4 linked regions of the Lonchura striata genome follow. The protein of the gene in region 3 purifies or fractionates together with the protein of the main gene of each other region. This does not show direct contact. Links are inferred from orthologs where the notes say so. Each region holds a gene or a part of one and is shown on either strand. Other genes may lie near its edges.

Region 1 (8,043 bases), on a different chromosome or scaffold from region 3:
AGAGTTTATCAGAACTCTAAATTCCACCTACTGTCCCAGTCCCACCATTTCCCAGTCTCCCAGTACCTGGGCTGCATGAAAGCAATTCAGGCAGCATCACAAGCTGATGACAATGAAACCTGACACAATCCCACCCAAAATGGACGCTACTTACTTCGGGTGTGCACTGTTTCCTTTTTTGTTTTCTTTTCCATCTCCTGTTTTGCAGCTTTCTGAGCATCGTACTCCCGCCTTCTGCGCTCTTTTTCCTCTGCCTTCTCTCGCTTCCGCAGTTCTCTCTCCAGAGCCTCCTTTGCTCGCTGTTCTGCTTCACGCTTCTTCTCCATTTCTGGGGGTTAACAGCAAGTTTTCCCCTTTTATGTAAGAGGGTTGTCACTGCCATTTTCCTTACTACCTTATTGTCCCAACTGGAATGAGGAAGCCAATTAAACAACTATCATCTTTTTTTATAATTTTATTTAGTATTACATACCTTGCATTTTGCTGTGCTTTTCTTTCAAGTTTCGTAGATAACCTATAGCACATTCCATCTAGAGATTTAACTATTCCTCAGGCCAAGGAATCACATACACTACTCCCCTGCTATATTTCTCCCTCCAGCCATTTTACTCTACTATTCCTTGAGTGCTTTGACTACTTTGGCTACAAGTATATGTTAGATGGCAATTTATTAGATGGTGATCAGAATGTTTGGATGTGTTAGACCAAGAGCAGTCCTCAGCAGACTGCACGTGGGGGCTGTTTGTCCCTACCTCTCTCTGCCTGGAGTTTCCGCTGCCGTTGTCGATCTTGCTCGGACTGGATTGCTTTCATGTGCTGCAGTACCTTAAAAAGCCAAGAAAACAACCTGAGGGCTGTGCAGAAGCCCAGTGGCACAGTCAGTTCAGAACAGAACAGATGGAGTATGGCTTAGAACAAGCAGCTGGGGCTGACTCCCAACCCTCCCCTATCCCTACAGCTACAGCACTGGAAAGAACTCACAACTTGTGTGAGTTTCTGTTGTAAAAAAGCCAATCCTCCTGTTAAAAACAAACATGGCAAACTGGTGCTCAGTGATACATAGGATCACAGAACATTTCTATTTATGTTTGCCAGAACTTCTCCAGAGCTTTTTGTGCTATCAGCACAGGCATGAATTACTATGTCTTATTATGCCTCTATTTTCTTGGGAACCAGTATTTCATCCTCTCTTCACTCCACCAATGGAGAAGCATCCTCCTCAGCCGGGTGTTTGCTCTCCACAAGCATAGCAATAGGGAAGTCAGTGCAGTGGACCTGCACCTCACTCCCTGAAGAAACTTTGGGCTGGGCTCCTGCAGCAGATACCCAGCTCACTAAGCAGAGAAAGAATCACTGGCAAAGCCATTAAAGGAAAAAAAAAAAAAAATACAATAAAACCAGACTCCTTACCTTGACAGCAGCCTGCTTACACTGCTTCTCATCCAGACAGTCTCCTGCCACTTTAGCCAGGACAGGATCCAGGGGATTGTCCTTCAGATCCAGCCACTTCAGGTTCTGCAAAAAATCACAACAAAGGGGAGGCTGTAAGAGCACAGCAGTCCTGGAATTATTTAAGAGATCCGAAGCAGAAGCAAAGAACTGCTTAGTTTTCACATTAATGAAACAGGTACAGAAAATGAGCAGAGTTGTTTTCAATAGACTGAGAGGATTTTCACTGAGCTGTGATGCAGACCCAGCTGAATTTTGGAATGAGTAGTCAGCAGGATGGATGCTTTACCAGAGAAATCAACTTGAGCAGGATCACAAGACCCTGGGCTGCATCCCAAAGCTTTACGTAACTGCCCAGCAAACAGTTTTACCTTGAGCTGTGCAAAGCTGACTGGCAGGGTGACCAAGCGGTTGTTCAGAAGGTCCAGGTGCTGCAGATTGACCAGGCGGCCAAAGTCCAAGGGCAGCTGTTGCAACCGATTTTTACTCAAATCCAGTTTCACCAGATGCATCAAACTGCAGAAGTCTGACTAAAACCCAAACAAAGAAAACCCAGAGAAAGCCGGTTAGCGCCTTTATGGAAGAACCTAAGTGGGAAGTATGTGGAGACAGCCTGCACCTTGCATCAGGCACACATCCTTGATTTACTACAAGACTGTGATGGAGGAAGATTACTCTCCTCCTTTGCCTTGGAAGATGGAGGTGAGACACAGTAGGACAGATAGACAGACTGAGAAGGTTATGGATGACAATATGACAGGAACAAACCCAAGTCTCCACTGCGGATGAAAGTCCTCTCTATTAACCTGGGGATGCTCTGGAAGGAGTGTACTGCAATCTTCACACAGTTCAACCCTGTACTCTCTCCTGCCTCAGCCAAATCACTGCCAGCACTGACCCGTCACTGACAACGAGTCATTCAGCCACCCCAGGGCAGTGAAAATGCCAGTTCCACGGTGCCTGGTGAGCCTCTCCTGAAGCACCAGCTATCTTTCCAAATATTTCCCAGCAGACACATCCCCACGGAGGCTCTCTAGCACCTTACCGGCAAGGAAATGAGGTTGTTACAGGACAAATCCAAGATAGTAGCTTTCGGAAGAGCGGCCTGAAAGACAAATAAAGCACTGAATGAACATGGAGGTTCACCCGACCCCCTCTGACACCTGTTCTGCTTCGGCCTCTGCGGTTTCTCCCGCGTCAGTCTGTCCATCCCCCGCGGCTGCTCCGAGGCCACGTCATCTCCGGATCCATCTCTGTATCCAAAAAGGTTCTTATCCCGGGACAGCAGTGACTAGCGGCTGTCGGGCCCGCGGGACAGAACCTCGCTGCTTTCAATACCTGCAGGCCAGCTCACAAGCCCCCAGCACATCCAGCTCCCCTACGCTGCTCCTTCCCGGGGACCGGCAGGCGGTCCCCAGCCCCGCCGGGGGGGGTACGGCCGGAGACTCACCAGCTCCCGCACCGGCACCTCGTTCAGGTCGCAGAGGCTCAGGTCCAGCTCGTTCCCATCCAGCTTATCCTTCAGGCTGATCCCCTTCCCGCTGCCCCGCGACATGGCTCCGTCGGCGGCTGCCCGCGGGGGATGCGGCTCGGTTGGGTTCGGAGCGGCTCGGCACGGCTCGGCACGGCACAGCCCAGCCCGGCGTGGCACGGCCCGGCCCCGCCACCCACTTCCGCGGCCACGTCTGCACGGGCCCCGCCAGCCGCCCCGAGCGCGCCCGCTGCCGGCCCGGAGCGGGGCCGCACCGGCGCCGCAGGACACCGAGTTACCCTAAGAAAGAACGTTACCTGATGCTCGATCTCTTTCAAACCTAAGCAAAAAGAAAGGAGATTTAATCCCCGAAGCAGACAACCGCTAATAAGCTCTGAGCGCTTAGAAAGACGAATTACTTGTTGGTAGAATTGTCTTGTTAGGGTTTAATGTTGATGCGATGATCTCAGATGTAATGGGATGTTAACAAAGCTTGGGAAGAAGGATGTACTACTGATAGTGGGTACAAGGAATGCAGGATTTATGGGCTACAAGAACATTAGGCAGAATTTCCAAGATAAGGAAGAAACTAATAAAGCTGGCTCAGCAATTGGGTTGAATCAGCTCCAAGCAGGTAAAAGGTAGTTCTGTCAGGAGTAGATTATGACCACCTATTCATGGACACAGACCCAAGAAACCCACCAACCCAAAAGAAGAGAGACAAGACTGTGGACTAATTAGTATGGGAAGTGAAAAAAATCATTAGGCATTGGAAGATAGAATACTAATTGATATGAGAACCAGATAACTCGTAGCCAATGAACATTAATGCCTTTTGTTTGCTAAAATATATAAACAGTCAAAAGTTTTGACAGTTGTCATGCTGGCTTTGTGGATTTGCCATCCAGTGCAGAACTGTAAATAAATCAAATACTACAACTCTGGGTTTGGGTTGGCCTCCTGTACACTGGGTGGGAGAGCCTATTTTGGGACACACTGGCACAGCTCAGGGCATCCTTGCAACTGTCCCACCAGCCCTGGAACCCTGGCCAGGTTGGCAGGAGTTTAGATCTGGGCTACATGAAACAGCCCTGCAGAAGGCAGGAGAACTCCCAGCCAAGACCCATGAGCAGGGGCGGTTTTGCATCCAGTCACATCACCTGACACACAGAGAACCAACTGGTTTATGGCCGATAATCCCAACAGAAACCCAAGGATGTATACCTTGTTTTGCAATACCTGATATAGCTGCTTATATCTGTCCACACTCTCCATAATCCAGGGGCTGAACTCCCTCTCAGTTTGGCTGTTACATTACCCCACAATGTCTGTTCACAGGAGGGACACTTAATGGATATTCCTGCTTTGCTCCCAAGGCTCCAGTCCCACAGGAGCAGGGCACTCTGTGGAGAAAGTCAGTGAAAGAGAAAGGAGCCTGGGGCAGAGCCAAATTAGTGTTACCTGGTACTGGGATTACAGCATGAATTTCCTGACTTCTGTGCTATATGTGATGTTTGGGACATTGCAAAGATGTTTTCACTATTGCAGCCCATCTACTCTGTGGATGCATTAGTTTGTTTGTAAGCTGCCAGTGAATTTCTTCCAACACCCAGAAACCAATTTATTTGCTCAGTACTGAGGTAACTGAGGCCACAGGATTCTCTGAACAAAGGCATGCCAAAGTAGCACACAAGGATTTGCCTCGTAGAAACTACAATAAAGTTTGCCTGAGTTTAAGGTGTCTCCTGTCCAGGAGATTATGGAAGATTTTCAGAGCATGTTATTGTTCTTCCAAATGTGAGCAGAAATCACAGAGCCCTCATCTGAGAGGAGTGAGGTCTACTTATCCAAGAAGCTCCCTCCATACATCAGATTTCACAACAACGTTTGTTGTTGGAGGGAAGAGCCAGAGAAGACCTGCTCCAGGGAATGGTGGGGAAACCAGATCTCCAAGGCAGCAGCTGATTACTGATCCACTCCTTACCCTGAGCCAGAGAGGGATTCATGTGATGTGCAGTGCTGTTCCCCTCCATGGAACAGCACCAAAGACAGTCCTGCTCTGGAGAACAAAACCCAGAGGGGCTCTGAGGGGGCCTGAGCAAGACCCTCTGCATATCTGGGAAATACAGAGACTAAAATCTGTGTTTGAAAAATCCAAGAGCCATTGGCAAAACCAAACAAGGGTGTAATGGGTTACAAAACCTACCTACTTGTTTGTGATTAACAGATTTGAAAATCTTGATTAGAAATGAATGCTACCTTATGCAATGGTGTATGAAATGTTACTGCTTCAGGGGTCCTTTGATTTGATCTCTAGCCAAAATCACTACCATCTCAAACAAACATACTCAAATGTCAGGGTGACATTTCTGCATAATTCATGGTTTAATTCTTTCTTTAACTGGGACTCACCATCTAGGCTAAAAACCATAATGTGGGAAGATCAAGCCAAAAGTCATCTTTATTTTTATTTATTACACGTTTGCACTGATTTTTTTTTTTTTCTCTGTGGTTATACAATACTGAGAGCTCTGATGCTCCTTCAGCACAAAGACAGTTGCTCTGCTCTGGCCAAACAGTGGAAGGACAACTTCTGGCCACAGATGTCACACAGCTTTACATCCCCTGTGGGAATCCAGAAACTCACCTGGCTGCTGGGTCCAGTGGGGCTGACTGGAGGAGGTATCCGTGCACGCAGGCTAGAAAGACTTTGAAGCTCCACAAGACAAAGACAAAGCATAGCACAAGGTGCATCTGTGCACTCTGCTAGGGGCTGCAAGAACATTAGCAAGGAGAATGGAGCAGGAAATGCTGAGGGAAGAGGGATGAACACAGTCGATCTAATTGTGATCTAATGCTCCTTACTGGGGCTGAGCTGACCATGCCAGCCTGGGGTTGGAGACCATTCCCAGACGCTCAGAAGATCTCTGGCTGCCCTCTGCAGCCAAGGCAAGTTTTTCACATTTCAAGGGAAAAAAATTCTCCCTTTCCCTAACAAAGAAGACATTGTCACTGCTGCCACCAAACAAATTCCTTGTGAACTAGATGCACATTGGGGAAAATCCTTAATTTCTAAAAGCAAGTGTCAGACACTAGAGATCTGGTGGCAGTTGGTATTTCACTCTGTCGCAAGCACAGTTTTGGCTTTGATGTCTGAGATTCACCATTCTGAGGTTGATATTTACGCTCTTTGTCAGCGCCATTGTGCATGATGTGATACACATACACTGTGTCACCTCTTGAGCATCAGTGCTGATGCAGAGCTCAGCAGCCCCACACCTCTGTGCTTAGGTGAGGGGGGTCTCAGCCTGCCCAGCCCTGGAGCAGCTCTGCCGTTCCTAGCTGCTCTCTTCTCCTCCACAGGGAGTGCATACAGGTGTTAGTGAGGTGCTAGCTGATAACTCATTGATGGCATAGGGCTGGAGGGCAGTTGGTGACTCACAGGGCTCAGGCACCAAGTGATACAAGTGGAGACAGGTAGAGGCAAATAATGGTGTTTGTCTTGCACCAAAGTCAGTCTCTACTCATTTGAGTGGAGAGGCTTATTCGGGTGTAACAGTGGTTGGGTCAGGCTGATGGAGCAGGCCTGCCCATTATCTCAAGAAGAGATAGCGGACCAGAAATGTGCAGGGAAGAAATTGTGGTGGGCAGCTTGGGCTGGGGACCGGCAGAGGATGGATGGGGAGATGCCCGGCGGGACTCTGGGGGCTCCGTCTGAGCCCGCAGTCCCTCTCGCGGACCGGGCAGGGCTGGCTCTTTCTGTGCTTCCCTTCCCCCGGTGCCTCCCCCCGGCCGGCGGAGGGTCCCGGGAGCGGCGGGCGGGGCGGGGCCGGGGCGGGGCGCGGCGCCCGGGGCACCGAGCGGCGGCGCGGGCCGGGCCGGGTCCGCGGGGTGCTGCGGGGTGCTGCGGGGTGCTGCCGCTGCAGGAATGGCCGTGGCCCGTCTGGCAGCGCTGGCCCGGCACGGGCTGCAGCTCCTGCGCCGGGCGGGCGGGCAGCGCGGAGCCCCGCCGGGCAGGTAGGGACGGGCTGGGGAGCGGGAGGTGCGGGATGTAGGGGTAGAGGGCTGTGGGGCTGTAGGGGACTGGGGCTGTAAGGGAATTAAAGGGTGCAGGGGGCTGTGGGTGAGAAGGAATAGGGGCTATAGGGGGCAGAGGGCTCTGGGGTCGGGGAGCTGTAGGGCACAGAGGCTGCAGAGGATGGAGACCATGTGTGATGGGGGACAGGGACTATCAGTGCTGTGAATATCCAGCTAGGCCAGTGGCTGCATGCAGGGAGGGCATATTCACCCTTGTCATCCCCAGACCCTTCCAAAGTGGCAGAAGGCAGGCTGTATCCCCTGGATCTGCTTCACCCCACCTGGGAGTGGGCCGGGGCAGGGATGAGCCCTGAACAGCAGGAGAAGGGAAGTGAAGGCATGGCAAGGGCTGAACTTTGTGCAGCGGCTCCATCTAGATTGCAGCAATGTGAAGTTTATCAAATGGCTTCCCCATCTTCCTCCAGAGCTCTGACTTGCTGTCAGTGTCCCTGTCCCCCTGTGGTCCTGCAGCCCCCAGGTAGCTGGGTGGCCAAGCAGTGTGGGACACCAAGAAGCTCTGGGGCTTGGGAAGTCAGGCCAGTTCTTTGCCTTGCTTTTCTTCAGTGGTGCCTCTTTGAGCAAGTTCATGTGAAAAACCAGCAATGGGGAGTATCTGGCTTTGGGAAAGGCTCTGATTGATTCGCTGGTATTCAGAGTAATAATCACTGGGATGACTTCCAGTAAGCAATTCCAAGAATCAGGCGGGGCATTCCTTGTTTTTCACAGACAGGGTTTAGGTGGGTTTTTTCAGCTGGTTTGACATTAGGAGTGAGGTGTTGAAGCCACTTCATCATAGTTGTGTGAAGATTGCCTTCTCAGAATCAGTTCTTAGGAAGTAGGATCACAAGAGAAGCATGACAACATTCACTGCAGCTCACTTCAGCCCAGAATTGAAACTGAGGGACAAGAACACAAAGCCCTTGGGGAGAGAGAGCATGTATTTAGAGAGTAAACTCTTTCTAGTAATGTTATAAAAAAAGTTTATTAAGTTCTACTCCTCAGTTTGTTTATCCCTTTGGCAGGGAGAGTGCAGAGGGCAGAGAGAT
Region 2 (7,268 bases), on a different chromosome or scaffold from region 3:
CTGTTTTTTCTTATGGAATTGTTACTAGCTAAAAAACAAACAAACAAACAAACAAAAAAAAAAACCTGCAAAAACTTAAGTCCACTTTAGCTTCAAAAAACAGTGGAGCTGAAGTAATAGCTTATATATGGTAAATATAGCTTCTGTCTGTGTTTGACAGAAATAAATATCCAAATAATTCTGGTTTGGAAATCATTCATTGTAGGAAACCACCCTGAAAACTGTCCATTTCATTTCTGACAGTATGCTTAAGCAGGAGCTGACACTTCTGTCTTCAGTCCTTGTTGGTATAGGCCTTTGATGAACATAAGATCAGCAGTAAGACGTTTTAAAGCAGTTGTACAAATCTCTTTCCTTGCCTGGGGACAGCCATACAGGGCTGGGCATCCCTTTATTCACATGTCTGTTCACTGTTTCAGGTGACAGTGGCAGAGCAGTGTTCCCAGTGGCTGCCAGCTCTGGAACTGCTCTAAAAGCAATATGCTCCATTATACTAAGGCGTGCTTTCTTTCTTATCACTTTTCCCTTTCTACTTAAAAACAGACATTTCTAATGAAAAAACCTAGAATTATTAAAAAGCCACCTAATTTTTCTAAATTAATCAAGATTGTGGGAAAGAAATAATTGTTTCTAGAAAGTGTAGTTATGCTGTGCTATAATGATTAGACAACTGCTTATTTTATTTCTAGTAAATATTTCCAGTTTCTATTGCATGTCTTACAGGGAATATAATTTTCATAGTGAAACCTACCAAGACTGAATTAATACTTCATACAGCTTTTTACATTTCCTTATCAGCTCAGTCTAAGACAAGAGCATGTCTGTAACATGTGCTTAAATGACTGCGCTATGAATGTATAGTCTTTGTGTTATCTATTGTGAGACAAATGTTATGTATGAATGCAAATTATACATCTGTCCTTCATTATAGGCCGTTTTCCAGACCCTCCACTTAATTTAGGTTACTTTTTTGAATGCACATATATAGAAATACCCTTTTTTTTTCAGCATACTGCAACATAAACTATTTATCTAATTTTTAGAGGTGGCATTAGAGAAATCACAAACTTAGGAAAACTCGAGCCGGAAATCTGAGACAGTTTTAAAAGGCATTCGGTGTTTTCATGTCAAAGATGAATGTATGCTTGAAAAATCTCTCATGCTCAGAAAAGCTAAGAAATTCCAGATATTTGGGAGGGTCCTACAAAGGAAGGATTTTTGGCTTCTCTTTTCAGCATATTTCACATTTTTAGGCAAGCTTAGAGCAGTCTTTTAACCACCGGAAATGGCCAGTCTCACAACATTTTCACATTTTTTTCCCTAAACTTTGCTTTTGTCAGCATTTATACTGACAAGTAGGAAACTGTAGCTACCTGTTTCTCCAGTAGAGGCAGGTATTCTGGTCTTCAAAAACCAGAATTTGCAGTTAGGAATAAACATTCAAGTACTGGAAAGCTTCACAGAAGGAAGTGTAGAACCAATAAAGGACAGGTTTGTGCCGAGGACTTGGCTTCCCAGAGAAGTCTGTTGCTCCTAAGAAGAGTGACACTGAAGTATTATATCATGCTTCTTTAGGTTTGGCTGCTTTGGAAGCAATTAGAGGTAACAAAGAGTTCCATGTCAGTGCAAGACAGTTACATAGAGTAACATAATAAAGTAATTCACAATAAATACATTTTTTCTTTATAATTGGGGAAAATTACTTTAAATATTTAAATGGACTGTAAATATAAACTTTAAGCAATGTTAATGAGAGCCACAACCTTAAGTGGCTCCGCAACAACTATACTAGAGTTTGAACAATAGCCAAAACATATGATAAGCTGCTATCTTGATGCTCCTATGCCAGTTTCATCTGACAGCAAAAGCAGAAAAACACAGAACCAAGATAAGACAAGTCAGCCTATCCATTTGTTATGACCAAAGCTGAACTGTGAGTGTAATTGTAGGGATTTACTATTTTGTGCTGTATTCCTGTAGGGGTTTTTTATGCTACACTTAATGCATTAAAACCAGGTCTGCCATCAATGTATTCAAGCTCAGTGGTTGTACTTCCTTCCATTCCTGAACTGGCACTCACAAGAAAAGCCAGCACCAGCTGTATTGCAGGATCTGAACAGTACAGCAAGTTGTGAATGGTGCCTGCACTAAGAAGGACTGTCAAAAAACAAGCTTCAGGGCTATCCTACTATTATTCTCTTTGGGGATGTTACATGGTGACTACACCAACTTTTTAGATTGTATTTTCACTATTAACTTTGACTGAAATTTCCCAGACCCAGTTATCCCTTATGCTGCTTTAAATAATTTTAGACTTGATATGAGTTAAAGTTGTTATTTTTTACATTAGTATGATAACTGAAGGATCTCTCTAAAGTATATTGTGCAACTTGTTCCATATCTGGAAAAGAAGCAAATTCTTAAAGGTAGATGAAAGACTATTTCCCAAGCCACCTAAAAGCTTTTCAGGGTGAAAAATACTATGCTTTAAGTTAGCACTATCAAATTTGAACAGGAATTAAATTTCCTTTAAGTATTTTTAAAACACCTGTCATGTAATGCCCATGTACCTGGTAAATTGTTGGGTAAAATAGCTGAAAATATATATAGAACCATCTAATTTGTTCTAGTCAAGCTTAAAAGTAAATGATAGTAGTCAATCCATGTTGATTCATTACTTTTTACTGTGTGCATGTGTGGTATTAATGGAGGAAGATGTTTCTACCCACTGTTCAGTCTCGTTGCCTAACTGAACAGGTTAAGTATGTACACCAGGAACCAAGCACTTTCAGATCCAAATAATAAAGAACTTCACATGACTGCCACCTCACAGAGCTACTAGCACAACGAAGTAAATTAAATGTCCCAAGCTAAGCTTCTCCCTCCTCTTAATTATTTTGTTACATCACACCAATTCTTCAGTGGGAAGTGTCAAGCTTCCTGTGGGTGGGTCCTTGATCTGTCTCGAAATTACCTACCAGAAAAAATAATCCTCATCACCTTCATCTAACTGATACTGAGCTATGGTAAGGTAAATAGGAGCAACAGGCACCACGAGAGCTTCTTGACGGAGCACACAACAGTAGTGGAAATCCCTTTTCCTAACAGCAACTTACAACTCTTTCTGGAATACAAAGGAGAGTAGGTGCAAACACCAACAATCCCATTTCAGATCCATGACTGATGGAGAAATTGAAATAGCTACATCTAAATTCTTATTTTTGGTATACTGTAAGGTGGTTCTCAAAAGCATAGGACATGTAGTCAAATCTAAACACTAAACCTTTCCCATCATAAAACAGAAGCAGTGCGTGTTCCCAGCAAGCAGCAGGTAAAACACAGAAGAATTTAACCCACTTGTTTAAAGACTGTAAGACTGCAGTGTTGAACTTAATCGAACTTCTCCAGCAGGAGCACACTTGCGACATTTTATTAGTCGACTTCACAAACGGATAAATAAAACGACTGAGCGCTTTTCAAACTCTGCGGTACTGTAGCTGCGAGTTCGGGGTTTGCGTTTAAGCCACCGCAACGGCGGCAGTCACACAAACAGATTAGCTACTGATTTCCCGGCTGGATTTCTTCTGGAGCCCGCTAGCCAAAGGGTTGGGCGGCTGTCCCGGGGGAAAGAGCTGCCGAGCCGCTCTGCCAAGGCCGCAGGTGCCTCCGGGGCAGAGGAGGCGGCAGGTGTGGCGGCAGGACGCCGGGATCGCGGCAGGTAACGGGGATGGCGCTCACGCCTGCCCCGCGGCAGGGAGGGGCGCTCCCGGGGCGGGGACACACCTGTCACCCGAGGGGGCCCCGGCGGCTCCCCCGCCCTGCCGGCGCCCGCGAGCGCCGCCCCGCGCGCCGCTCCCGCCCGAGCCGAATTTAAACTGCGTTACTGTCCCTCGCGCAAAGCACCAACGCCGCGGCTCCCGCGCCGCCCGCCCCCTCTCCGCCCGCCGGCCAATAGCGGGGCCGCTTCGTTGCTCTCCCCACCAATCAGGGCGCCGCTTATTGCTGGCTGGGAAGAAGCGCTCGGTGCGCGCGCCCGCCCGCTGTGGAGCTGGTCCCTGGCGCGGAGCAGGCGAGTCCTCCTCCTCCTCCTCCTGCCGCTCCCCCGCCCCTTCTCCCCGCGCTTTGTTGGTGCCTCTCCCGGGAGAGCGGCGGTGGCGGCTGCGGCCGGCGGCGATGCCCGAGTTCCTGGCGGATCCGTCGGTGCTGACCAAGGAGAAGCTGAAGAGCGAGCTGATCGCTAACAATGTGAGCCTCCCGGGCGGCGAGCAGCGCAAGGACGTGTACGTGCAGCTCTACCTGCAGCACCTCACCGCCCGCAACCCGCCCGCCCTCGCGCAGCCCGACTTTTCCAGCGACGAGGAGCGGGAGCCCACACCGCTCGGCGCCCGGAGCCGCGGAGCTGCTGCCGCCGGGCGGGTGAGTACCGCTGCTCCTGCCCGCGCCGCCTCGGCTTCCCGGCAGCCTCGGGCCCGCTTTCCCGCCCGAACGGGGCCGGCCGCCCCGCCCGCCCGCCGGGGCGCGGCGCGCCGGGGTCCCCGCACGGGGCCGGGAGAGCGTCCGGCTCGGCCGCGGGCGGGATCGCGCCCGGCCGGGACGCTCCCTCCGCCTGGGGGAGCGGGGCAGCGGGGCGGCCGCCCCGCACCGGGGACGAGTTGGGACGGCGGGTCGGTGCCGGGGGCCGCGGGCTGCTCCTCCAGGATGCGTCCCGCCCGGAGCGCCCCTTGGAGCTGCGGGGCAAGGCAGCGCCAGCGCGCGTGGAGCGTGCAAACAGCCCCCAGACTGTAAACTGGGAAACCTTTGCTGTAGCTTGGCGAGCGCTGTCCTAAGTAGACTATTGCTGTGTTGGAGGAGCGAAGCAAGAGAGCTGTACGAGGTTGCAGCTTGCTCAGGAAAGGACTCCGGTCCGCTTGTTGTACGGTTGTACGGCAGCAGCGCTGGTCGGTGTAAATGCCTCTAAATGAAAGATGAAGCTGCGCGGTAACAGCTAGTTTGTTTCGCTTAATGATGTGGACTGTTTAGTGTAAAGAGGGTCTGCTTAATGTAGACGTCTTGCTCGTACCTCTAAGATGTGTATTACAGCAAAGCGCCTCTGGTGCCTGTTCTGTTCGTCCACTGTGCTTGTTTTCTTAGACTTTACGCGTGTGATGAAAGAGGGAAAGCTGATGGCATTTGAAGTTTTTCCTCTTTGGGAAAATGTGATTTTTTTCTTAATTTTTCATAAGTGTACTATAAATTTGCATATATTGAGAATGCAATCTTGTAATTGGTGTTGTAAGATGTCTAATCTCGAGAAAAGCCTTGGATAATGATTATCAGCTTCCGGAGTCCTAATGTGTGTGATAGTGAAACTATTTAATTGTGTCTTAGATACTGTGTTTCAAAGGTCATTAGTTGAGGGCGTGCTGAGAAACGGAGTCCTTTGAAGGTCTTTCACGCTTTAACTTTCTAAGAGAGCAGTTCTTAAACTAAAAAGTCGAAAACTGTAACTTCAAGAGGAAGAGCTCTCTAAAACCAAGTTATTTACCTTATTTCTGTCTATTTCAGACACTTACTTGGCATTTACTGAATGCAGTTACAGTGAAACAGATATTTCTCTGACTTAGAGTGGTCTGCTGATAGCATTCATAAGCTGCTTTTGAGTAAAACATGATGAGCTTGAATCTGACTTGTTTCATGCTTGCTGGAGGAGGAACATATCAGAACTGCTAGTTCCTCTCCTAGATAGGAGTTTTCCTTTCAAGAGGGCTTAAGTTCAAACAATTGTGAGTGAGTTTTTTGATGTTTACAGAATGGGTGGTTCTCCTACACTTTTGTTGACAATATCTGGAAGGCTCTGTGTTATTTATGCTTGTGTTTTAGTATCAGAGCACTGTATCATCAGAAGTTCCAGAATTTCGGCAAATAATCTAGTGAGAGCTGCTCAGATTTGGGTCCGTTGTGCCCTGTGTTGTGTCGCCTTCCCCTCGGTACAACAACCAACCCCAACCGAAACACTCAGAAAAATCCCAAACAATACCTGCCAAGTAAAACAAACTTGGATGATCTGTGCTTGTTTTCTTCTTTGTGCCACTTGAATAGTTCTGCAACTACTTGTAGCCTGAGTAACTTGTCCCTGTTAATGTCTTTTGGCATAAGGGTACTTCTGTGATCAGCTGTCGTTCAAAAAGATTAGCACAGGTGTCTCCAGAATAATTTGCCCCCAGAACAATTGAAAAGAAGAGGAAGAGCGAGGGACATCCCAGGGGACTGGGATTCTGGTGAAAAACCAAAGCAAAATATCTTGGTGAGTTTAAGAGAGGATAGGAGGGACAGCACTGACATTTGTAAGAAGTTAGAAATAAGGGACAAGGGTGGGAAGCTGGAACTGCAAGCAGTGATGGAAAGGCGGAATGAAGTAAAAGAACGGGCCTCCCCCGCCCCTCTCTGGGCCCGCTCGCCCCTGGCTTTATTAGGAGCAAACAGCGCCTGGCCTCTCGGAGCCCGCAGCCGCCTTGGGTTGCCGGCCTCGCGTGCGCGGAGCGGCCGGAGGGTGGGGCCGGGCGGGGCCGGGCGCCAGGGGGCGCGCTCCGAGGCGTCCTGAGCGGGGGCAGGCAGCGCTTGTCTTACGGCGGGTGTGAGCAACGCCTGCAGGCAAGCTGAATACCCACGCTGCAGTCCCTGAAAGCTGTACCGGGTCTCTTAATGCTGGCATTGGAGTTTCGACATGGCTGTAGTCATTAGGAATTTTGAACTGTCTACACTGTCATTTTAGTGGCATTTTTCTAAGTTCTGAGCATTTGATAATGCGTTCAGGTGCTTATTTTCTATTGATAAAAGCTGTACAGAGACAAAATCCCATCGTTTCAATTATGTTGCAAATTATGTTTTGATTCTGTCACTCTTCCATCTTAGCTCTATCCAGCCCAAGAATATATGGCTCACTTTGGCTATATATTCCTACCAGAACAGGAAAGGCTTTTAAAATCACACCTGTTTGTGCCTCAATCTGATAATATTGTTGGGAGAAGCCAGCTTCTCCAGCTCTACTAATGTTTTTGACCAACTTTTTTGCTTTTTTCCCTTAAGCCTGTTTGGCATAGTGGTATCTGAGGACAGTGACTAGCTACACAAGACACTATTGCTTCAGGGTGAACCATCTGCTTCTGAATGCCCCTTGTCCTGGTTAGTTATGAGCTGAATGTCAGCAAAGATAGCTCACAGGAAAAGTAACTATGAAATTACATTTTTTCCTCTCTAGGACCATTATTTTAAAGCATGTACCAAAAATA
Region 3 (7,546 bases):
AATGACAGTTCTGTTGGTTTTGAGCAAAGGCTCAGCTACCCTACTTGGTAGTGCACTAATTTCCTAAAGTCAGAATTACTGAAGAGCAGAGGAAATCTCTTTTACATCTCACAATCCCTCTGCCTTCCACATCCTGCCTCCTCTGCAGTGCCTGGGTAACTGTTTACACAGCCTCATGATGAACCAGCCGCTGGTTTAAGATGGCTCGAAGTCCTTCTGCCATGTTATTTTAACCCTGCATCAATACCCCAGGCTAACCCAGCAGCAAAAGCAAAGAGTTGTAGCAGTACCAGTGAAAGTAAGTAGCCAGGGATAGAGGAAATAAAGTTGTTGGCAGCTCAATATCACAGTTTCAAGTGCAGGTCTGTCACCTGTACCTGCCTGATTTCTCTTTAGGCAGATTTGGGGGACAGACACTATGGTGCAGCTGAAAACTGTGTGGCCAAATCCTATAATTTCAACAACTAGTACAGGGCCTCAGCACACCTCAAAAGGGGATATAAAAAAATTATGTTCAGGTTCATACAACAACTCATATAATGCAGACAACACTTTTTCTTCTGAAATAGTTTTTCAGATGGACAACTTCCACTATTGAGAAGGTTCTCCCTTTAACATCATAACTCAATGAACAACAGACAAGGCTAAGGAAAACCATGTTACTAACAAGAGAAGAGAGGCAAGAACTCTCCATGGTGGTCCCTCCTACATTTTTTTTTCTTCAGTAATAAGTGGCTGGGATACACTTCTACATGAGGAAGAAGTCTCCTGGAAAGGATTAGCCAAACCTCTTCTGGACAGCCCCACAAAAAAAAGCTGCCTCCTGTTTGGGCTCTAGAGAGCACAAACCAGGCAAGGGATTAGGTGTGAAAAGGGACAGCAACAAAGCTTGCTTTTAATAGGCATTTCAAATATGCCAGTTTCTAAAAATAATGTACAACAGTGCAGACACAGTACAGAAGCAAAAAGCAGATACCGTTTGTAAGCACAGATATCCTTCCTGCAGAACTGGAAGTCCTTGGAGGGTAAGACAGAACCATGAGGCTTTTTGACCTCATAAAACAGATGGGCTGCTGGGAAAATGATATTAGTGGGGGCAGATCTGGAGGGATCCCAAGATCTTTGAGACCATCACACCTAGAAAACAATTCAAGTTTGTCCTGTTACAGAACTGATTCCAACAAGAACAGGCTGCCACTATGACTACTCCCAGAAGCAGAAAGTCAAAGGCCAGAAAAGGAAGTAAAAGGCAGAGCTAAGTACAAGTCTCAGTGTATTCTCTGTAAAGGATTTATTCATTTACTCAGGGTAAGTGCTACAGCACACCACAAGAGAGGGTTTTCCAATGGAATTTGAAAACTTTCTTACTATTTTACACTAGATTCCCTTCCAAGGAGGGCAGCTGATCCCAAAAAGCAGTTTACATATCATACACAGCCTGCAATGCTGCCTGTAAATTGTATAAGTATCTTCTTCATAATGTTTAGTTAAACTAGAAATACTAGAAGTTAATACAAACACATAGTTTTACTCAGACCTTTTCATAATTTTATTAAGTGTTTTGCATAAGCCCATCAAATACAGCCTAATTAACAATAAAGTGGTCTTTGAAGTCAGTGTGAGCCTAGAGTAATATATATATATACCAACCTATATTTAACCATTATTTTATCTGGATTAGCTCATACATTATTATAGTTCTGCTATCTCTTTGCAGTACTTTAGCAACAACCAAAACCACAACGTGCAAGACTGTCCCACAACACCCATGTGATATGTTTACTTGAGGACGTGAAGTCAACACACTACATTTAGAAATACATTACATGCCTAGAGACCAGTTTTCAGACATCTAACATTCTCTAAATAAGTTCCAGAAAGAGTTTTCCACTATGACCTGCAGAACCTCTGCAGCATTAATTATGTTAAGACTGATTCTTTAGGTCTGGACCTTTACCATTACTACTGCCATTAATACATGTCCACTACCCTTCACAATCAAATCACCTGCAGCATTTCTCTTTCTGTAGCCTAGAAAGTTCTGAACCACAAACCTGCATGTGAAAGTTCACACTTTAGAATAGTACAGATAAGAAAGCAGTGTGCTGTACATGCTTTAATTCAATGGTGTGGGTTTTATTTTTCTTTTAAAAGCACACAATACAATCCTCAGCCAGAAATGAGAAGTCATTTATACACTATTTTAAAGGCACCAAATGCAAACAATATTTGAGGGACAAAAATCAAAGCAGGCATTTCAATGCCTTTAAATTCTCAGATGTTCCTACTGCAGATTCGTCGCCTGCACTTCACCTGTTGGGACTCCAGCCCCTCGCCATAAGCTCCCCCCTTCCAGAGGCTTCTCCTTCCCCTCACACAGCCCCAGCCAGGCCCACGCCGGGCTCTGCACCCACCTCCTGATCTCCCCTGCACGGGGAGCACGTTCAAGATTATTTCCGACATGGAACACGTAGCCAGCTAAAACCTAAACCACGCGCTGCCCACATCTACGTGCGACTCTCGCCTCCCTCCCGGTTCCACCACGCGGCCCTAGCGCCAGGCGCTGCCCGGAGCGGCGCTCCCAGAACTTACCAGAAGAGCCGCCGCTCCCCCCAGGCCGCTCCGAGCCCTGCGGGGGCCGGGCGGGACCCGGCGCCGCCGCCGCAGCCCCGCGCCCGCCCCCGGCCTCAGGGGCCTCCCCAGGCCGTCCCTCCCGCCCTGACTGCGGGGGCTCCCCGCGCCCTCCCACCGCCGCGATGGGGCCGGGACAAGCACGGGCCTCCCACCCCCCAGGGCCCAGCAGCGCCCCGCCGCACGCCCCACGACAGGCCGAGCGCCCCCGCCACCGCGGGCGAGGCCGGCTCCCCCGCGCCGATGTTGCGGAGCCGCAGCGGCTGTGGAGGGAGGGCGCGGCCGGCCGGACACACTCACCATCCGCCGCCCCGGCCACCGCCGCCGGGCTGCCCTCACCTCCGTCACGTGCCCGCGCGCCCGCCGCCGCCCGCCTATCTGCCGCGCGCCGGCCCCACCCCCGCCTCACGGCGCTCAGCGTCTCCCATTGGCGGACAGCGCGCTCGTCCGCCCGCCCAGTCGCCGGCTGTGCACTCTGATTGGCTAATGTCACCGCCGCTCAGCAGCCGGCCCGCCTCTAGACACGCCCCCAACGGCGCTGCCCTTCGTGGAGCGCTGTCATTGGTTGGCGGGGTTGCAGGAAGTGCCGGCTGATTGGGTGGGCGCGGGCAGGCCGTTGGGATGTGGGCGGGGTCCCAACGGGTGGCGGTCCAGGGGCGCTGCGGGCGGCGGGGGGCGGCGGGGGCGGGGCCAGCCGCAGCGCCTCGCGCCCTGCCCGCGCCCCCCCATCCCCTCACAGCCTTCACCCTCTGCTCCATAAAATTCCGCTGTGTTAAACAGCAGAGCCATCTTTATGTCTTCTCGTTCTTTAGAAGGGGTGTTCGGGTTTTCTTGCCTATTCAACAAATTCAGTGTATCTGGTGGTCTTTCCCTCTGTTACAAGCCGAGGGTTTAATAAAATAGCGAACAGTGACGCAGACTCCAGCGTATTCGGAATATGGCAGTGCTGCTCAGCAGCTGCTTGCCCAAAGGCCTTGTGCAATTCCGGAACCTTTAACCTGTGCTGTATTTTAAAAAGGAAAGTAACGCAGTTTTGTAGAGGTGAAACACTGTATAAATGTTGAACATTTGTACATCGAATCATTAAAGAAACACAGGGAAATACAGAAAAAAGTGTCCTTGGTGGGCCCATGGGACAGACAGGCCGAAGGAGACGCCGGGTTTGATGGACCATGTGAAGGAGGTCAGGATTAAGCCTGAGGAGTCTCCGTGTCCTGCTGCACACACAGCCGTGTGGGAGGCAGGGAACACGGCCCCACGGTGAGGAAAACAGGCTCTGGTAGCCTGGAAGTTAGAGCACCTTTGTGCTGTCTCCAAGCTGCACCAGCTGAGAGCAGTTCCACAGAAAGCTGGGTCTGAACCACCCTGTTCAAAGCCAGCTCCTGCATGGTCTCTGGGCTGCAGCCTGTTCCAGGAGATAGAAGGTATTCTGCAGGAATAACAAATCCAATATTACTAGAGAAAAGAAAGAAAGAAAAGGGTGGTGGTTTTTTTTTTTTCCTTTGTAAACATAAATCTGTTTTGAGTTGATGCAATGAGTCAGCAGTATAAGTTTCCCCACAGAGAAAATTCCACTGTGTTAGGACAAAGCAAGCAGGGCCTCAGCATTCAGAAATAAGGCTCAGCATAAATGAAATCAGCAAATCCCTGCTTGCACTGAAGTTTGGAATCAAACACATTTTTCCAGAAAGACACCGAGCTGGTTCCTAAACTGCTCTGTTGAGCTATACCCAGACTTAGCAGAAGATGCAGACAGGCAGGGAAACAGTCACAAACAGGCAGCACAGGAGATATCAAATGCTTAAAGAATAACCTAAAAACACTATGGAAAAGTACTTTAAAGAGTAACAAAACAGTATATTTTAGCAAGTGCCCTCCTCAATCTAGAAAAACCCATTTTTCCACCAAATATCTTTCAAGCCTTTTTTTTGAAACAGGTTATTAACTGCAACATGACTGCAGAACAGCATAATACTCCTGCTGAAATCACAGAAGCACCAGGAAGTCAAATACACACACACACACACATGCACACACGTGATTCCCCTTTCTCTCCCACCCTTTCCCAAAAAAGAAAACATTCCTTCCTTTTACAACCTGCTGAATCATGTCACAGGCAGGCAGCCCTGGAGCTGGCTCCTGCCTGTGCTGCTTTGTCATCGAGAAGAAAGGAGCACTGTAAGTTACAAAAAAAAAAAAAAAAAAAAAAAAAAAAAAAAAAAAAAGAATCTGCTAAAAGCATATCTTATGTGGGGATTTTCGAGATGTTTGAACTTAGATAAAAGAAATACAGAATGAACACAACAGAGAGATAATCCAGAAGGAAAGCAAAAGGGATGAGTAAAGGAAACTGAAGAAACATGCACAGAGATTTAACTGCTTTGGCAGCTGAGAAGATGGTATTTTTAGACTCTAGAGTGCCAGGGCAGGGAAGGTGAAAGAAAGAGAATGGCAGATACCACATGGCAAACATGACATTGTCAAGGAAAATAATTTTGGTGTGTTCAGGCTTTATTGCAGCAGATCTGCTTTGTCCCACTGACAAACACACAGGAAGTGTGTTGCTCTCTGACTTTGGCAGTACAGTTAAAAAGGCAGAAATCAGGCAGTGTGGTGAGACTGGCAGAGCCTGAATATGCACACCTCAGAGGTGAGAGGCAATGGTCAGTTTATTAGTGCACTAGAACTGTGTGTAATTCTATTTGTGGGAACTTTCTTTTCCTGAGTGTTATCAGACAGAAACGTCATGTGCTTTCCACTGGTATTTTCATAATTCCCTCTAACTTTATCTCCAAAGTGTTCCTCCTTCCTTAATCCCTTCAGGGCATTGCCACATTGCTAGAGTTCTCCTTGCATTTCAAGCACTAGTAGTACATCTTTTCAAACTCATCTCCTCTGGAAAACTGGCAAGAAACGAGTGGAAAATCCAGCAGGTCAGTGTGACAGGAGGGACACCACACTGGCAGAGAGCAGGCAGTCAAGGCAGACAACCAGTGAGAGTACACTGACTTTTGCTCTTTCAAACTTTGAACTGCAGGAGGGGAGGCAAGCTCACATCACTGTACGGAGCAATGTCCATGTGCTCTGGAATGCTTTCCATGGAAAACACATTTTGTTACAAAGACATCTCTGGGGACAATGCTTGAGAGAAGGATGGGAAAAGATGCATGAACATTATCAGAACAGGGGGAGGATAATAATCTTAAAGGGAAATAATGAAGTCCTACCATTTTCAGAGCTAATAAACATGAATGTAAAAAGTGTTATAAATTAATTGTAATACGATGAAGCAGATAAATAAAAGAAAAAAATCAACAGATAAGTAGTAACTGAGCACTCACACATGGATAGAAAGAGACAGGCAGAGAGCACTGAGGTGGAGGAAGACAATCTATCCACCTGATACCGTTTTCACAAGCTGGGAAGTGTCCCTGAGAACAGGAACTTTACAGACAACTTCTGGGAAGCAGAAATTCAGAGTCACCCGAGACAAGATAGTAGGTGCAGGTTTAGTCTGGACATAAGGTAAGGAAATCTTGATGGTTGTACACACCTTTTCTGGCTGTCATAAGCATTGCACCAGTTTGCTGGGAAAAATCTGGCTTCCACCGTGCCCCTTTCTGCCAGTTCTTTCATGGACCTGGTGTAGATTTGCTTGAGAGCGGCCCTCATATATCCCCAGAACTGTGTCCTCCCTGAGGGTCTCACACTTGAGGCATTTGTATCCAAGCATGGTTGCAACATGTGGACTGGAGTTATTCCCTCACTAGGGAAATACAGGTTACCCTTTGGATTTAAACAGATGAAGGCTTGCCAGAAACAGCAAGAGGCTGCCAACACCGTCCTGTCCTTAGGGCATTAGCAACACCCAAAACCTTTTGCAAAGAAGAAAATGCTCGATCCCCACAGCTCCCTGAGAGGCAGGGCACAGAGAGGGGCTTGAGTGTGATTAGCAGCAAGGCCAAAAGAGAGACACTGTGTTAGAACAGAGTCTTTCCACTTTAGCTCACACGTTTCAGATTCACCAGATCAGAGACTGACAATAGCTGCTCTCCCCCAGCTGCTCATGGATCTGTGATAATTCCTCTACGATAACCTCTTGAGTTGGTACCACCTTGCATGGTACCACTGGGGGCTGTCTGGCTCAGGGATTGTGCTTTGTGTGTTTGGAAGCAGTTGTTTGTTTTGAGGAACAACAAAAAAATCCCAAAAACAACAAAAACCAACCAGACCCAAGAAAGCCCCCAAAAAAACCGCAGAAAAACCCTCACAAACTCACAACAAACAAACAAACAGCTCCCCCCATCAAACAAACAAAAATAAACCATTTTTCAGTGGTCAAGTTTCTGAATGTCTTAACTTTCGACAGTTTCATTGGATGTGATTAATGGCAAATGAAATTCCATTCAATCCCAGGGTAAAAGGAAAGTGCTTAATTGGTGTTATTATTATGTAGAGTGAAGAGGGGCAAGATAAGCAAGGAGGAAAGGAAGGAGTGGAAGGAGAAGAAGGAAAGGAAGGAAAAGAAAGGAAAAGGAAGGGAAAAAAAGGAAAGGAAGGAAAGGAAGGGTCTTCTTCTCCCATAACAACATGTGATTGTTACGAGGCACAATGAGGTCCCGTGGCCAGGATTGCCCAGGAGCCCCCAGCCACATCCCACTTGCCCTTTGGCTTCAGGGGACAAGAACTCTTCCAGCCCTGCACAAGAAGCCTGGGATCTGGAGCCAGATGCAACCCTGGGTTAACTGACCTGGCCTCAGCATCGTGCTCCTCCTCAGCTCTCTGCTTTCCCCACCACAACCTCTTAAAAAACAAGCAAAATCATGGAAGAGTTGCTGCATTCCTGACATGCCATATAAACAGCACAAGGCCACCACCTGGAACCCCTCACCCATCCTAATCCCAATTTACTGAA
Region 4 (7,988 bases), on a different chromosome or scaffold from region 3:
CCCGCGGGGGCCTCCCCAAACAAGTGCCCCCGGACTTGTGTGAGGCCGAGGGCCACCCCTGCTCCATCACCCAGGGGGGCGAGGACGGGGGGAGCAGAGCGGTGCCAGGGGGATGCCCCGGGCGGCACCGGCGGCTCACAGGGGATTCGGGCATCGAGGTGGGCCGGGGCCTAGAGGAGGAGGAGGGCGAGGCTGAGGGCTGTGGGGGAGCAGGGGGTGGCGGGGGGCCTGGCTCACCCATGCTGCCCGTCTGAGCCCCCCACCAAGACCCCCAAGTGGGGTCTGGACTCATCACGGAGCCCCTGGGGGCCCTTCACCTAGACTGACACCCACCTGGCAGTGTGGCGGGGTCCTGCTGGAACCCGCTCCCCTCCAAACTGCTCCTGGGGCCTCCCCTGCGATCCCGGTGCTGCTGCCTGGGGGGTGCCCGACACCGTGGGGGTGGGTGGTCCCGGCACCTTCTCCCACCATTAAAGAGATGTGGAAGTACCACCGACCCCTGTGATGGCTGCACTGGGCTGGGGGGCGACCTCCAACAGCACAGGAAGGGGCAAAACAAAGGCGACACTGTGACACCCTGACACGGGCGGCGAGAGGCGACATTCGTGGGGGTTTATTGCAGGGGAGGCAATGGGGGGGCTCCGCCACAGCCCCCCACCACCTCCCCTGGCCCTGAGCACGCCGGGGGCACAGGGACACCCCCACATCAATAGTCCTCAGCCATGGCCAGCACGACGAGCGCGGACCAGCCGGCGAAAGGGCGACAGCCCTGCCCGGCGCCGTCGCTGTCCCGATAGTGCTCCCACAGGAATCCGGTGGCCTCGTACTGCCGGAACACGTTGGCCACCAGGTTTTGCCGCAGCTCCCGGTAGAGCTGCGCCGCGCGCTCCCGGTGCGGCCCCGCCGCGGCCGCGTAGCCGCGCAGCGCCCGCAGCGCCAGGAAGTTGATGTTGACCCAGACGGAGCCGCGCCAGTAGGGCGGGTCGTGCTCGGTGTTGCGCCGCAGGTACAAGGGGCTGTCGCGGGCCAGCGAGCGCAGCCCGAAGGGCGTCCAGAGCTGCCGCTCGCCCCGCATGGCTCCCAGCAGCGCCGGCAGCCGCGGCGAGTCGGCCCGCAGCAGCTGCAGCAGCAGCGGGAACAGGCTGACGTAGCCCAGGGCGTCCACGAAGCGCGGCCGCGGCGCCTCCCGCACCTCCCGCCGCAGCCGCGGGGACGGCGGGGGCCCGCCGGGCGGGCGGTGCCAGCGCAGGGCCACGGCCGCGCTGTGGTTGCCGAAGTCGGCGAAGGTGCCCAGCTCGGGCGCCCAGTGCAGGCGGTCCAGCAGGTCGTTGTCGCTCAGGGCGGTGGCCGTGGCGCGGTAGGGCGCGGCCGGCTCGCCCAGGCGCTCGGCCAGCGCCGCCAGCACGCGGGCGCCCAGCGCCATCCAGCAGCGCAGGTCCAAGTGCCGCTCCTGGGCGGACGGGTGCGAGGCGCGGGGGTAATCGTCCAGCCCCGACGACAGAGTCTTGGGGTTCAGGAAGCGCTCGGGGTCGGTGTCGCGGCCACGCCAGCGGAAGGTGAAGGGCTCGGGGCCGGCCTGGGTGCGGTTCAGCCACTGGAACCAGGCGTGCAAGCGCGGGAAGAGGCGGCGCAGGTAGGGCAGGGGCGCGTCGGGCAGCAGCCGCTCCAGCGCCAGCAGCAGCGTCGGGGGGTTGGCGGTCTCGCTGTGCTGCACCACGAACTCGGGGGGCACACGGGACCGCGCCTCTTCCCCCAGGATCTGCTCCCGCGGGATCCAGCCGTCGGCGTTGAGGAGGTCCAGCCAGTGGGCGAGGATGTCGCGGGCCAGCGCGGGGTCCCAGCGGCCCAGCAGCAGCAGGTGGAAGCCCTCGTCCCACAGGAAGCCCCGCGGGAAGCAGGAGCGCGAGGGCACGGCCGTGAACAGCGCGGCCTCCGCGCCGGGCACCGGCTCTTCCCGGCGCTCCGAGCGCAGCAGGGAGCGGCCGTGGAAGAAGCCGACGCCGCCCAGCATCTCGCTGAGCGCGGCCTGGGCGAAGCGGCGCTGCGGGAGGGACGCCCCGCGCGCCCCCAGCCCGAAGGTGTCCTCGAAGCGCCGCTCGAAGGCGGCCGCGTGCCGGGCCAGCGCCGCGCTCAGCGCCGGCCCCGCCAGCCTCCCGCGCCGCTCCGCCGCCGCGCTGCCCGACTCCAGCGCCGCCTCCAGCGTCGCCGGCGGCTCCAGTGTCACCTGGTGCAGCAGCAGCTGCCCCCGCGGGGGCTCCCCGGGCAGCCCCCCGGTGCCGGACACCCCGAAATAGCGGCGGCGGGGACGGCCCGGCGGGGAGAACACGGAGCCGTCGCGGAGGCTGTGCCGGACCAGGTCGGTGAGGCGGTGCAGCCCCGGCACGCCCGCGGCCAGGAAGTTGTAACTGGGGGGGGAGGGAACAGTCAGGGCTGGAGGACACGGCGGCGGACGGAAGGGATTTTGGGGCCACAGCCCCGACACTCACCTGGCATACTTGGGTCCCTCCCCGGCCTCCCCGGTGGGGGGCAGGAAGGTGAGGGTGAAGTCCCCGAGCTCCTCCGCCGTCCCCGCCACGGCCGCCAGCCGTGTCCCGTTCTCCAGCACCGGCCGCAGCGTCCCCTGCCCGTCCGTGGCCACGTAGAAGAAGAGGGACAGGAGAGGGGCCGGGCCGTTGCCCTGGGGAGGAGGAAGAGGAGGGTGATGAAAGCTCCCCAGCATCCCAACCCCTCTCCCGCTCTCGCCCCCTCACCTCCGTCTTCACCGTGATCCGCCAGCTCCAGTCGCCGCCGTGCTCTCCCCCCGGCTGCTTCACGAACTCGGTTCGCAGCACCAGCCCCTCGTCGCGGATCTCCTGCACGCCGAAATTCTCCCCGTCGTGCATCAGCCACCCGTAGCGCGACACGCCGTCGTTCTGCTCGCTCGTGTGCCGCAAGCTGCCGCCGTGTCGGAGCCACATCAGCCCTGGAGGGGCGGGGAGGTGTCACGGGCGGTCCCGGAGGCGGCAGCGGGCCCGGACGAGCCCCAGGGCGGGGCGGAGCCCCCCGCGCCCCTCACCGGTCACGACAGCGCGCGGGCTCCGCGTCTTCATCCCGAAGTAGACGTGAGGCCGGTACGTGCCCCAGAAATAGGTGGGCGACGCGAGAGGCCCGGTGGAGCCGGGGGGGACTGCGGGGGGCGCGGGGTGCGGGGTGACGAGGCGGGAGGCTTCGCTCCACCGGTTCCACCCGGCCGCCGCCGCCGCTGCCAGACCCAGCGCCAGCGCTGCCGCTGCGAGCGCCGGCAGCATCCGGCCCCGGCCGGAGCCTCGCGGCGTCTTTTGGTGTGGCCGCAGTTTGGCGTCGCGGTCCCGGAGCCGCTCCCGGGGCCGTTCCCGCGGTCCATCCCCGCCGCGCCGCCGCCGCTCGCCCGCCATCAGGGCTGTCGCGCCGATGACGTCACCGCTGCGCCGGCGGCGGCCGGGCCCGTCGCACAGCGCCCCCTGGCGGGCGGGAGGACCACGCGCAGGCTCGGTCCTCCAGGAGACCCCGAGGGGACAACGGGACAACGACACCGCGGGGTGGCCCGACCGGCCCCGCTCCTCACTGTGGGAATCCGTGGTATTGATGATTCTGAGGTTGTAGAAAGTCTCTGTCTGTCAGCCCCGCTGCCAAAGCAGAAGCCATCATTGGTCTGTGCTGGTTTCCAGGTTGTTTATTCTGTTGATCTCTCACATGTTCTGCTGCCCTGCCCAGCTCTGTCCTGCAGGGCAGCGTGTGGGGCTCTGCCCTCAGTGGGATGTGACAAACATTAAATACCAGAAACTCCCTGGGCTGGATTTACAATAACGTGCCAATATCTGTCACCTACGTTGGACAGTGTGTCCCCAGCCTGAACCAACAGAAAAATGCCAACACCACAGTGAGACATGGAGGGCATGAAGAAGGAGGAAAAAGGACAAGGCACACCCAATTTCCTCCATCTTGTCCCCTTTGGACCCCCCATCTAGAATCCTAAAATTTTACTTTTGCACCCGTGCCATACTTAATTATTACTGATATCAAACACTCAGAGCTGGTAATTGATCCTGTAAGATTGCAAACTCTTTTCCATGGCCAGAGATCACAGCCAGTGTCTCTGGGGGCTCTGTCCAGGGGGGTTCCTGACCCCTGCCAGGGTGCCAGGGCAGCCAGAGGGAATCCCTGGATTCCCACACCTGATGCCCACTTTGTCGTGTCTGTTAATCTCCTCCCCAGCCTCTCTGGGGGTACCCAAAGGAGCCCCAGCTTTCCCTAGCACCTCTCTGGAACTCCAGCTATCCACCTGCAATATCCCCCCGGACCCCCAGGGGAATCCCACCCTGCACCCCCAGCCCCTCCAGGACCCCCTAGCCCCGTAAAAATTCCAGTTCGATTGTGCCCACCAGCAACAGGGATGCCAGAGCCCCGTACCCCAATATCCCACCCCGCAGACACAGCCACGGCCGTGCCATTTCCAGGTTTATTCTGGCTCAGCCCTCGGGGCTGTTCCCGACACACGGTAGGCCTGGCACGCGCCAGCGGCGAGCGCGGTGCAGCCGCAGCGCCAGCCACTGCTGCTGGCTGCCCGGGAACGGGGACTCGGGCCGGGACGGGGGATCAGCCTCCGCGGCCTCCGGGGGCGGCCCTGGGATCGGGCCTGGCCCCTCCAGAGGGTCCGGGTCAGGGAGAGGATCCACGGATTGTTCCAGGGGGTGGGCGCCTTCATCTGAGCCTGGGAAGGGATGGAGAGGTTGGCTAGATGGATGGGGGTTGGTAGATCAGGTCCTGCTTCTGATGGGGGTTCCTATCCCCATCTCCAGCTCCGTTCCAATCCTTGTCCCTCTCGCTGTCCCCATCCATCTTTGTCCCAGTCTCCTGATCCCTGTCCCACCCTGTGTTATCCCAACTCCACCTCATCCCATTCCCATCCCATCCCATCCCAGACAATTACCATCCCACCCCATCCCATCCCGTCCCATCCGTCTCATCCCGTCCCCATCCCATTCCCATCCCCATCCCAATCCCATCCCACCCTGTTCCCATCCCACCCTGTTCCCATCCCATCCCATTGATCCCATCCCATCCCAATCCCATCCCGTTCCCATCCCATCCCATCCCCAGTCCCATCTCATCCCAATCCCATCCCATCCCATCCCATCCCATCCCATCCCATCCCATCCCATCCCATCCCATCCCATCCCATCCCATCCCATCCCATCCCATCCCATCCCATCCCATCCCATCCCATGGATCCCATCCCACCCCAATCCCATCCCCATCCCCATCCCATCCCAATCCCCTCCCCACCCGCTCCCTCCCCGCTCTCACAGCAGCGCCGCAGGCCGCCCCAGCCCCGGGGGGCTCCCCGCGGCCCCCCCGGCTGCTGCAGGAGGCACCGCACGGCCGCGTCCGTGTGCCGGAAGACGCCGAGCGCCCGCAGCGCCCGCCGGGCCTCGGGAGCCAGCCCGGAGCGCTCCGAGCACACCAGGTCCCGCACGGCCTGGAAGTCCTGCCGCAGCTGCAGGGCACCCTGCAGGCTGGCACAGGGGCACGGTGGGCGTGGGACCCCCGGAATCGCCACCGGGATCCCCAGAACCACCACCGGGACCCCCAGGACTTCACTGTGACTCCTGGAACTGCCACCAGGATCCCCAGGACCCCACTGGGACCCCTGGAACTGCCACTGGGACCTCTGGAATTGCCAATGGGACCTCTGGAAGTGCCACTGGGACCCCAGAACTGCCACTGGGACCCCCAGGACCCCACTTGGACCCACAGGACATCACTGGGACCCCTGGAACTGCTACTGGGACACCTGGAATTGCCACTGGGACCCTCAGGGCATCACTGGGACACCTGGAACTGCTACTGGGACCCCCAGGACATCACTGGGACTCCTGAAACTGCCACTGGCCCCCCAGGACTCCACTGGGACCCCCAGGACTGCACTGGGACCCCCAGGACATCACTGGGACCCCCAGGACATCACTGGGACCACTGAAACTACTACTGGGAACCCGAGCACTGCCACTAGGACCTCTCAAATTCCCGTTGTGACCCCCAGGGCCCCACTGGGACCCTCAGGAACCCACTGGGACCCCTGGAACTGCCACTGGGACCCCCAGGACCCCACGGGGACCCCTGGCACTGCCCACAGGCTGTGGCCCCCCAATTCCCAGTACCTGAACTTGATCCGGCGGGTCAGGATGTGATCCATCCAGGCCTCCAGGAAGGCCGTGGTGACCCGTGCCAAGGTGGGCACTTGGGCATCCTGGGGCAGGGCCTGGGCCCCCTGCAGCACCTGCCCCAGCACCGCCTGCACCGCGGCCGCCGCGTAGGCGCTGGGGGAGCTGGGAAGCTCTGGGGGACACAGGGACACAGATCAGCGAGCCCCTCAATCCCCCCCAAAACCCCCCCCCAGCCCCAAAACCCACCGGCACGGGGCCCGAGCCGCCAGTGCCGGCCCAGCGGCATCGTCTGGTCGAAGATCTCGGCCGAGAGCCGCTTGCAGCTGGTGGAGAACATCCAGAGCACGTCCCCCGAGAAGAGCTGGGACGTGGGGTTGATAGTAAAAGGGTTTTAAAATCATGGGGATGAAGGGTTAAAAGGAAAAATCAGCTTAGTAGGCCCTAGAAAAATAAACACCCTAAGCACATGGAGAACTCGTACTTGCTAGAACTGCACTGTGTAGGTAGTGCATGATAATTGATAGAATTGTTAGATGTGATGATTGTTTAGTTAGTTAAATATAATTATATTTAATATATGTTAAAATTAATATCTATTAAATAAAATATAAATATAAATAAAATAAAATAAATCTAATTAAATATAATTACTGTTTAATCATAAGAATAATCATGAGAAACTGTGGTCAGCAACTTAAGAAAGATCACGAGAAACTCATGTCAATGTATACAATAGAACAATGTAAGTTTAATAATTAATATATGAGTTACATAAGGATAGAATATAAAATATATTCAGCTTGAAAGCCGTGTCGGAGTCAGATTTGGGGCTGTACCCCTGATTCCCAGAGCTCTTAATAAAAGCATGTGCAGATAATCATATCCCATGATTATGTGTTTGTGAACGCTAACGGTGACACGGGGTGACACGGGGTGACACGGGGTGACACGGGCATGCTCAGGACCACCCTCCCACAGTCCCGCCATACCTGGATGCTGTTGGCCACGTCACGGATCTGCTGGCACAGCTGGAGCTCCCACGGGGAAGGGGACTCAGGGTGGCTGTCCCCAGCAATGTCCCCCGGCTCCGGGAAGGTCCCGCTCACCTGCAGCATCAGCTGCTCCACCTCTGCCTTCAGCACCTGGAGGAGAGCAGAAGGAGCGAGTCCAGCCCTGCTGTGCCCACCCCCAGACCCCCGTGCCCGCTGTGCCCCCCGTACCTGCAGGTCTCCCTGGGTGAGCAGCAGGAACTGAGGCAGCGCCCAGGCCGCCAGGTACCGCCCGGCCCGGCCCGTCAGCCACGCGTGGGCGGCCGCCACCGCCGCCAGGCACCGGCCCAGCACCTGCAGCCGCGGGCAGAGACCCCCGGGAGGGGCTGCGGGTGGGGGTCAGCACGGGAGAGGATCCCCAGACCCACCTGCCCCAACCCCAGACCCCTCTCACCGTGCGGGCGGGGGGGCAGCAGGCGCAGGCAGCGCAGGGCCAGTGCCAGGGCTGGGAAGAGACGCCGGAGCTGCTGAGCTGTGCGGCTGCAGCCCGGCCCTGGGGAACCTCCTGGGGCTTCCAAGCACTTGTCTGACAGCCCTGAGCCCAGAGCACGGGTAAAATCTGGAGGAGAAAGAGTCAGAAAGCTCCAACATCCCCAGATTCACCCCACACACCAAATCCAAGCCTTCTCAGCACACCCCACTCCCTCACCCCACACACCAAATACAACCCTTCTCAGCACACCCCACTGCCTCACCCCATATCCACCAAGTGCCCCCCACCCTGTCCCCCACCCTGCACCCCCTAAACCCCTCC

Evidence for each region.
Region 1: the proteins of CANX (region 3) and LRRC59 purify together in Homo sapiens (affinity purification with mass spectrometry; 3 studies listed by BioGRID and IntAct, with this or other methods). This does not show direct contact. The link is inferred for Lonchura striata from reciprocal best matches to the Homo sapiens genes CANX and LRRC59.
Region 2: the proteins of CANX (region 3) and TMPO purify together in Homo sapiens (affinity purification with mass spectrometry; 3 studies listed by BioGRID and IntAct, with this or other methods). This does not show direct contact. The link is inferred for Lonchura striata from reciprocal best matches to the Homo sapiens genes CANX and TMPO.
Region 4: the proteins of CANX (region 3) and MOGS purify together in Homo sapiens (affinity purification with mass spectrometry; 3 studies listed by BioGRID and IntAct, with this or other methods). This does not show direct contact. The link is inferred for Lonchura striata from reciprocal best matches to the Homo sapiens genes CANX and MOGS.

The regions. Positions count from the first base shown.
Region 1 is NC_134621.1:5,720,384-5,728,426, forward strand, and holds the start of LRRC59 (leucine-rich repeat-containing protein 59), read right to left. Parts: upstream 3,130-8,043; 5' UTR 3,005-3,129; coding exon 2,900-3,004; intron 2,555-2,899; coding exon 2,495-2,554; intron 1,980-2,494; coding exon 1,821-1,979; intron 1,516-1,820; coding exon 1,411-1,515; intron 826-1,410; coding exon 753-825; intron 329-752; coding exon 155-328; intron 1-154. Other genes in the region: ACSF2 (medium-chain acyl-CoA ligase ACSF2, mitochondrial), read left to right, coding at 6,849-6,937.
Region 2 is NC_134607.1:55,413,968-55,421,235, forward strand, and holds the start of TMPO (thymopoietin), read left to right. Parts: upstream 1-4,014; 5' UTR 4,015-4,173; coding exon 4,174-4,416; intron 4,417-7,268. UniProt on the Homo sapiens protein: May help direct the assembly of the nuclear lamina and thereby help maintain the structural organization of the nuclear envelope. Possible receptor for attachment of lamin filaments to the inner nuclear membrane.
Region 3 is NC_134617.1:6,815,268-6,822,813, forward strand, and holds the start of CANX (calnexin), read right to left. Parts: upstream 3,022-7,546; 5' UTR 2,935-3,021; coding exon 2,932-2,934; intron 1-2,931. UniProt on the Homo sapiens protein: Calcium-binding protein that interacts with newly synthesized monoglucosylated glycoproteins in the endoplasmic reticulum. It may act in assisting protein assembly and/or in the retention within the ER of unassembled protein subunits.
Region 4 is NC_134606.1:2,198,978-2,206,965, forward strand, and holds MOGS (mannosyl-oligosaccharide glucosidase), read right to left. Parts: upstream 3,171-7,988; 5' UTR 3,090-3,170; coding exon 3,056-3,089; intron 2,963-3,055; coding exon 2,751-2,962; intron 2,678-2,750; coding exon 2,487-2,677; intron 2,406-2,486; coding exon 707-2,405; 3' UTR 582-706; downstream 1-581. Other genes in the region: CCDC142 (coiled-coil domain-containing protein 142), read right to left, coding at 4,488-4,729, 5,326-5,534, 6,180-6,357, 6,432-6,546, 7,175-7,327, 7,406-7,560, 7,629-7,793. UniProt on the Homo sapiens protein: In the context of N-glycan degradation, cleaves the distal alpha 1,2-linked glucose residue from the Glc(3)Man(9)GlcNAc(2) oligosaccharide precursor in a highly specific manner.